Linked DNA regions of Mus musculus. The protein of the gene in region 1 interacts with the protein of each later gene in a pairwise test. Links are inferred from orthologs where the notes say so. Each region holds a gene or a part of one and is shown on either strand. Other genes may lie near its edges.

Region 1 (4,235 bases):
CAATTTGTCCTATGTTGCAATAAAAATTATTTACTTACAGAGTAACCATTGATGAAAGGGAGAGATATTAAGTTCTAATATGAGAACCATAGGGGCACACTCTAACTAGGAACCCTAACCCAACGGTACTGACACTAAAGGCATATTCTATTGATGAAATCCCACCCACCCCTCTGTGGAAGCTCAGCTCCACAGAAAGGCAAGATGTTGCCTTCTCTGACCAGCATGGCAGTCAGGGGCCTAACACTTCCTCTGCAGCAAAGATCAGATTCAGGAAACGACTGCAAAGCAGGACAGGACCATTTCCCTCAGAGCTCAGAGCAGGCAAACACCACCTCGCGTTACACACCCTCTAGAATAACACATCCATGCACAGGAGAGTAACCTTTGCCTTACGTTTTTAAAGACTAGGCTCCATTAAGCTATGAATGAGATTGTGTTTTGCTTCACCTTTAAAACAAAAAGGCTTTTCAGCAAAGGAAGAGAATGGCAGTGAACAGTGACCCAGTATCTGGGTTCGGAGTGGTAAGGAGCAGGTCCGTCCCTAGTAGAACTCCTCCACACCTGGAGACGGGGCTTCCCCGATGACGTTCCAGTTCTTTCCTGCTTCCAGAGCTGCACACAACCTCAGGATGAGCTGAATGGAGTCAGATGGTTACTGTGTGTGTTATCGAAGCCCCGGCTGGGTTCTCAAGTCTCGTTATTACCAGTGGAAAGGAATGGTACCTAACGCTAAAGGAATTATCCTTAACATTAACAATTACCACTTATTAAGCATTTTCTATATATGCTCTACAAATTCATTTATCCTTACTTTTCCCCTGAGAAATTTTGTCTCATTTTTGGCAAGGACGGATTCAGAAAACTAGCTTGCTCAATTTCCTAGGTAGCAGAAGAGGGATTCAAATCTTAGCCTTTCCCTCCCCAAAGCCAAGGCTCCTAAAGGAATGTTGGTAGAATCAGTCTTTTGGTCTAGATTAGAAATGAGACAAGTACCTAAATAAATAAATAAATAAATAAATAAATAAATAAATAAATAAGGTGGGTGACATCAGGGCAGTCCTATGCCATTCACTGGTAGCACAGATTGGTTCTGTGAAACTGGAAAGTTGCCAGAATCAAGTGAATAATATACTTGGCTCTACCTTTCCAATAGGGAGATCACAGACAATTCTAGTGAGAAAACCAAATATATATGTAGTTAGAAGCACTTCCTAAAATGACTGTTTCCTGTCTCCCTAAATTAGTTCCCAACAGAACTCATTTGATGATGCTAAGTCTATGGTGACAGAGATGATGCTCAGGGGTGAATGTCATCCTGCACCTTAATTTAAGCAAACTTGAGGAATGCAGTCTTCACCTTTTCCCTATGCCTTTTGCAATAGTACTGAGGCTGTGAACTCGGTAATGAGACTCATGTATAGCAGAGGAGGACTGCCTGGTCTGGCCTCAGTGGAAGAAGATGTGCGAGAGACTTGAGATTCCTGGGAGTGGGAAGACCTGGTGTGCGTGACATCCTCTTGGAGACAGGAGGGAGAAATGGGATGAGGAACTGTGGGAGGGGGGACCCAGAGGGAAGGGAGTGGCTGGATTGTAAAAAAAGATAAAAGTAATGTTTTTAAAAAACAAGAAATTACAGAAGCCACACAATTAAGGTTAGCTTAGGATAAGGATCTTTAAAGCTAAATGGTTACGCAAAAAGTATTTTACGGTTTATCAATAAAGTCGTTTCTTGTTAAATATATCTTAAAATTTAACCTGTTCCAAATGAATAAAAGGGTTGTAACTCCACACATTATGTAAGAAATGGGTCACATCGTAAGTATTTTTGGACATTTTCTCTTTGTAAAATCACTGAGTTGGGCCCAATGAGATTTAAATTATGTGGGTCTGGATTAAATTTTAATCTCAGCTTACCCCACACAGAAAATTTGGCACATCTAGTAAACAGTGATTTTCAAGTTTTTAACAACTGCCTCCGCAGTAAAACCCGTGGGAGAACTTTAAAGACTTGCAGACCACTGATCAAACCATGGCCTCAAATAAGCTTCACCAAGGAGTTCTCCAGGGAAAAAAGTTAATGCATGCATGCTCCTTAGGGGAACCACATTCTCCCATGCTGGGAGCCTGGGGAGGCCTGGGAAGGAGGGGTTCTGAGAAGGCCTGGGAGCGCAAAGCCTGGAGCAAGCGCAGAGCGCGGGCACCTCCGCAGCCTCCAGAGCGAACCTCGCTCCAGCCAGCACATCCCAGGACAGTGGGGCACACCACACCGCAAGGTCACCGCACCGAGGCGACTTTACATAATCTCCCGCCGCGCCGCCAAGCACCTGCGCGGCACCCTCCGTGCAGAGCCTGAGAGCTGCCGTGCAGGGACTAACTGCCTGGGAACCCGGTGGGCGGCGAACCGAGACAGCGGGGACAGAGAGCAGAGATGCCAGGGGAAGGGAACTGAGGTCTGAGTGCTAGAGTGGCAGGGACCACAGGGACTCGGAGTGGGAAGAGGAAGCAGGGATGCAGCGGCCAGGGAGGAGACTCGCGGAGCGAGCACCGATCGGAGACAGGGAGCCGGGTTATGGAGCCAGGCTGCCGCGCAGCGCCCCGCGGGGACCAGATCAGAACAGGGAGGGGTTGCAGGGGAGGACGCCGTCTGTCTGTCGGTCTGCGGGGCGGCCCATGGCGCACCTGCACGCGCCCTACCTGAGTGGCTTTGTGGAACTGCTTCTTCAGCCCTGCCACCGACATGATGGGATGCGGGAGGCTGCGCGGCCGGCAGATGCAGATGCAGATGCGGAGAGGCGGCTGGGGTCGCCGGGCCGCCGCTGGTCGTGCGACCGCGGGAGCTGCTGGCGCGGGGGCGCGGCGCGGGACGCGGGCTTGTGCGGAGAGACACCCTGACGTCAGGGCGGGTGATGCGGCCTCTTAAAGGGGACGCGGGAAGCCCCGCCCAGGGCGCAAGCCGAGGCAGGTGAGCGCGAGGAACCCCCGCACTGTGCGGGGGCGAAAGTCCCTCCACGGTCCGAAGCCTGGGCTGTCTTCAGCTGTGGGAGTCGTTCGTTCGTGGCCCTGGCAAAGGGATCACCGCCTTTGGGCAGTCTAGACTCAGGTGACCCAGCTCCCAGGTAGCCGCAGTGGTGCTGCCTGCGCACTGCCCTTGCCCTTTGAGCCTGGCCTCCCTGTGGTTGAAAAGCAGGGTGGCGGCTTATCTGGATCATGAATAAGTTATTGCTCATTTCATGCCCTGCCTTCCCGCATGATTGGCCACCGAAAACATTTCTCTGCCTCGATTTTAATATCCCTTAAGCTTGTTTCACCTTAGGGAAATCTATCAACTTTTTTTTTCCTGTTCTAGTACAACTTAACTACTTAAGATGAAGAGAGGTCCCTACAGTTTGACTGGGATACTGGAATGGAATTGATATGAGCTATAGCATATATTGATATGAGTAATAACATTTAATCTTCTATTTTCAAAAGAAAAAAAAAACGAATGCGAACTTGGCATTCACACAATTATCATGGACATTTTTTTCTTTCTTTTTTTTTTTCGTTCTAACATTTTTATATAATGAGGAAAGGAAAGGCAGTAAGTTATACAAACACCACATAGGGACAAAGGGTGGATGGGACTGGGTGAAGGGCCCAGAGCAGCACCAGAAATCTGTGCTCTTATGAGCAGCCACTTCAAGTTTGTCTTGTATGGAAGAGCTTGTGGGAGAGTCTCAGATGCAGGCCACACCTGCATGTGTGGATCAAAGTGATGAGCCGCCAAGAGGAGAGTAATTACGGAGAATGTGGAAAGAATCAACAGGACCTGGATTGGGTTCCTAGAAATACAGTTCCCCTCCCGCCCCCCCCCCCTCTACTGCCTGGTGTAAAGGAAGCCAGTAGACTTCTGCAGCTTGAGTAAAGATGAACGGAAGAGCAGGTGCAAGGGGATTCTAGACACGGGCTGGGTACCACTCACCCTTGCTACTGTGAATCACAGCACAACAGAATATCGGAGCAGTGAGCAGTGAGCATACCCTTCCAGTCTGCAAAGCAAAGCAAAAGGAAGGAAGGGGTCTGTAGTCTTGTGGTCCTTGCTGCTGCCCAGACCTTCCAATCTGTGGTACTTTCTAATTTCTAAACTACCGTGGAGGCATTGGGATAAACATTGGTTAGAGGATTTAGGCAGGAGGGACATGCTAATTCTTAATAATTCACCTTTTGGTATCAGGGCCACAGGGTTCGCTTCT
Region 2 (4,278 bases), on another chromosome or scaffold:
GCCTGGGCAGATCTTAATTTTCCTAGCAACCACATAAGGCAAGACTCACAACATATTACACACCAGCAAAGTTTGCCCAGATCTTGGTATTCAAAGGTCTGTGTGTGTGTGTGTGTGTGTGTGTGTGTGTGTGTGTGTGTGTGTGTGTGATATGTGTGTGTGTGTCTGTTTGTTAATGTGAAGGCCATGGTTAGGGGCTGAGCCACCTCAGCTATTGTTACTCAGACCTATCCACTTTATTTCCCTAGACAGGCCTTAAACTTGCCAAGTATGGCAGACAAGCTGACAAGCAAGTCTAAGGGATCCACCTTCCTCTGTTTCCTCAGCACTGGAATTACAAGTGCATATCGCTATGCAGAGCTTTTTGACATGTATTCTGGGGATTAAACTCAGGTCCATCTGTTTACAAAGCGAGCACTTTATCACTGAGCTATCTCTCCAAGCCCTCAAAGCTATCCCTATGGGTCTATCTGCCCACATCATTGCCAGCATGGCTGACCTTAGTTATTTGGTCTCCAGCATTCCCAAAGGCTATACTGATATCATGCAACCCAAGGCCCCTATCGTAAATAACATTCTGAACATAGACCATCTGACTTGGCTAAAGGTTACAGGAATATGAAAACACTCTGGACTAAGTAGTTTCAAGGGCTTGGAGGCTGACTCTTAGTAAGCAGTCAAGGGCAAAGCCTTCTTTCAAATGTTGAGCTTTCGGACAACTCAGACCTACTGAGTTAATCTTTTACTGTAGAAATGAGTTTGATAAAGGAAAAGGAAACTCTTTTAAGAGGAAGTTGGTTAATGAATTTGATAAAGAACAAATAGAATAAAATGATGTAGAGTTTGCTGAGTTTGGAGCACCTTGACAAGAGCTGTTTCCTGAAAGAGAAGGGCCAGTAATCACATAATAGAAGAACAAAGAGGGGGCCTGGGTTGCTCAGTTGGTAGAGGAATTGGCTCACATGCACAAAACCCTGGGCTCAGTCCCAGCACTGCATAAACCATGCATGGTGGGGCATGCCAGTAATTATAGTGCTCAGAGATAGACACAGGAGGATAGACAGGGCAAGAGCATCCTTGGATATATAATGGACATCTGTTCTCATATGAACACACACACAGACACACACAGACACACACATCACACACACATACACAGACATACATACACCACACAGAGATACAGACACAGAGACACACACAGACATACACACACACACACATATACACAGACATGCACACACATAGACATGCATACACAGACACACAGAGAGACACAGAAATATACAACACACACACACAGAGACACATACACACACACACATACACACACACACAGGCACAGGCAAACAGACACAGACACACACTCACACACAGAGACTCATACACACAGACACAGACATACACAAAGACACAAATACCACACACACACAGAGACTCATACACAGGGCAAGAGCATCCTTGGATATATAATGGACATCTGTTCTCATATGAACACACACACAGACACACACAGACCCACACAGACCCACACATCACACACACATACACAAACATACATACACCACACAGAGACACACACAGACACACATATACACATACACAGACATGCACACACATAGACATGCATACACAGACACACAGAGAGACACAGAAACATACACCACACACACAGAGAGACACATACACACACACACAGGCACACAGACACACACTCACACACAGAGACTCATACACACAGACACATATACACAGACATACACAAAGACACACATACCACACACACACAGAGACTCATACACACAGACACAGACACACACAGAGATACACATACCACACACACACAGACACACACAGAGAGACACATATACACGCAGACACACACACTCATACACAGACACACACAAAAACACAAATACACCACACACCACCTACACACAGAGAGACTCATACACGCAGACACACACACAGATATACATACTACACACACACAGGCACAGACACACACACACATACACAGAGACTCATACACACACACACACACACCCCACACACATACACAGACACAGACACACACACAGACACATACACCACACACACACATATACAGACACACACAGAGAGACACATATACACACACATATACACAAACACACACACAGAGACACATAAACACACAGAGACACATACCACACACAGAGAAAGACACATACATGCACGCAAATACACAGATGCACATACACACACGTACACACATATTCAGACACACACACACAAGACACATACACACACAGACACACTCATACACAGACACACACACCACTCACACACAGACACACACAGAGAAACTCATACACACACAGACAGAGATATACACACAGACACACACACACACACACACCACACACACATACAGAGACACACATACACAGACACACAGAAACACACACACACGTGTGCGCATGCACTTAAAGAAATAAAATTTAAAAGTAAACAATAAAAGATCTTTCATTGATTTTGCTTCATTTCTTTACATGGCAATTCCAAAAGTTCCCTCTTCAGAATTACAGGACTTTTGAGAATCCTTCAGAGCTTGCTGTGAGCCTATCTTCACTGAACAGAATCCTCACCATGAGAACTTAGCATGTAGGAAACACGTTGGCATACAATCAATATGATTATATGTAATCATATGAAAGGCAATTTCTATACAGTAGAAAGTCAACTTTAGTCCTTGCTAACAGCAGTTCAATAGTTTGCTAACATCATGGCTGGGAAGTAACCTTCTTTTCTCTCTCTGTTCTTAGGTCATTTTTGAAGCAGAGCGTGGCAAAGGCAAAACTGGAGAGATTGCAGTGGATGGAGTCTTGCTGGTGTCAGGCTTGTGTCCCGATGACTTTTTATCTGTAGAAGGTTGACTGTCACTGTCCTCCTTTGTAGCTTCATATGTGGCTTTTAAAATGTCATTTCTCTAGGGTATCTTTTTATATCACAGCCTAGGACTCTTCCATCTTATAATTACAAGCTGACAGTGTACAATGTTCCAACAGAAATATTATCATAACATGCCTTTTTTGTATCAAATGTACTAAGACTTGCCTATATATAGTGCCACTGTGCCTTCTCATTTGTTTCTGAATTTTCCACATTTTATTACAAAATGTAGAAATGCTAGCCCATCTCCCCCTGCCCTATACATTTGCTCTTCCTATATAAGTTGGTGAACTTTCCTATATAACAACATAGAATAACAACAACAGAAAATGATAAGTACAGATAAATGGTTAATTGTTGGGGCTGGGAAAATGGCCCAGTGGTTAAAAGTATTCATTCCTCTCGAGGACCCAGGATCAATTTCCAGCATCCACATGGCAGCTCACAACCATCTGGAACTCCAGTTCCAGAGAATCCAATGCCCTTCTGGCCTTTGTGGAAACTTTCATATGTATGGTATACATGCATACACTACACTACACTACACTACACACACACACACACACACACACACACACACACACACACACATACACACACAGAGTAAATCAATTTCTTAAATTGTTTAACTTTCACGGTACTTCTTGGAAACAATGACATTAAACATAGATTTGTGCCTTTGTGGCTCAGCCTGCTCTTTCATAGTCAAGCTTGCTCATTTAATTTTTTTATAATCATATCCAGTAAACGGCCTTGTGTCATAGTAAGATAAAATGGTATCTTACTGACTCTGTTTACTTATGTGTACAATTCTGGAAAATAAATTTTTTTATTCTATCCACTGTTGAAACACTTTGTCATCTTAAAAATTCTTGAAAATTGATTCAAATGGGCTTGGACGCTTCATGTGGTGGAATGCTTGCTTGGCATGCATGAACTGCTGGCTCACGGACCTGATAAATTGGGAATGATGGTGCCTGCATGAAATCCCAGCAGATTTGAAGGTTAAGGTCATCCTTGAGTACACAGTATGTTTGAGTCTAACCTGAGCTACATGAGACTTTGTCCAAACACACACACACACACACACACACACACACACACACACACACACAACACAGAGAGAGAGAGAGAGAGAGAGGTATCAAATCTCTTCCAGAAGGAAGATACTATGTATATTCACCAAGGCTGTTCACTATACACATAGCCCTGAAAAAATAGTACAGGCAAATCTGTCAATGCCTTTGTGCAAAGAGCACAAGGCACTCATATGGATTCACCAGCTACCATCAGCCTCCTGGCTCTCTGGAATCTAGTAGATGAGTACGACAGCCAGAAAGGTCA

What was found. The genes of interacting proteins can lie anywhere in the genome.
Region 2: the proteins of Sh3gl2 (region 1) and Egfl6 interact in a two-hybrid assay, tested with the Homo sapiens proteins (2 studies listed by BioGRID and IntAct). The link is inferred for Mus musculus from reciprocal best matches to the Homo sapiens genes SH3GL2 and EGFL6.

Annotation. Positions count from the first base shown.
Region 1 is NC_000070.6:85,204,084-85,208,318, reverse strand, and holds the start of Sh3gl2 (endophilin-A1), read right to left. Parts: upstream 2,864-4,235; 5' UTR 2,743-2,863; coding exon 2,698-2,742; intron 1-2,697. UniProt on the Homo sapiens protein: Implicated in synaptic vesicle endocytosis. May recruit other proteins to membranes with high curvature. Required for BDNF-dependent dendrite outgrowth.
Region 2 is NC_000086.7:166,522,501-166,526,778, reverse strand, and holds the end of Egfl6 (epidermal growth factor-like protein 6 precursor), read left to right. Parts: intron 1-2,807; coding exon 2,808-2,918; 3' UTR 2,919-3,772; downstream 3,773-4,278.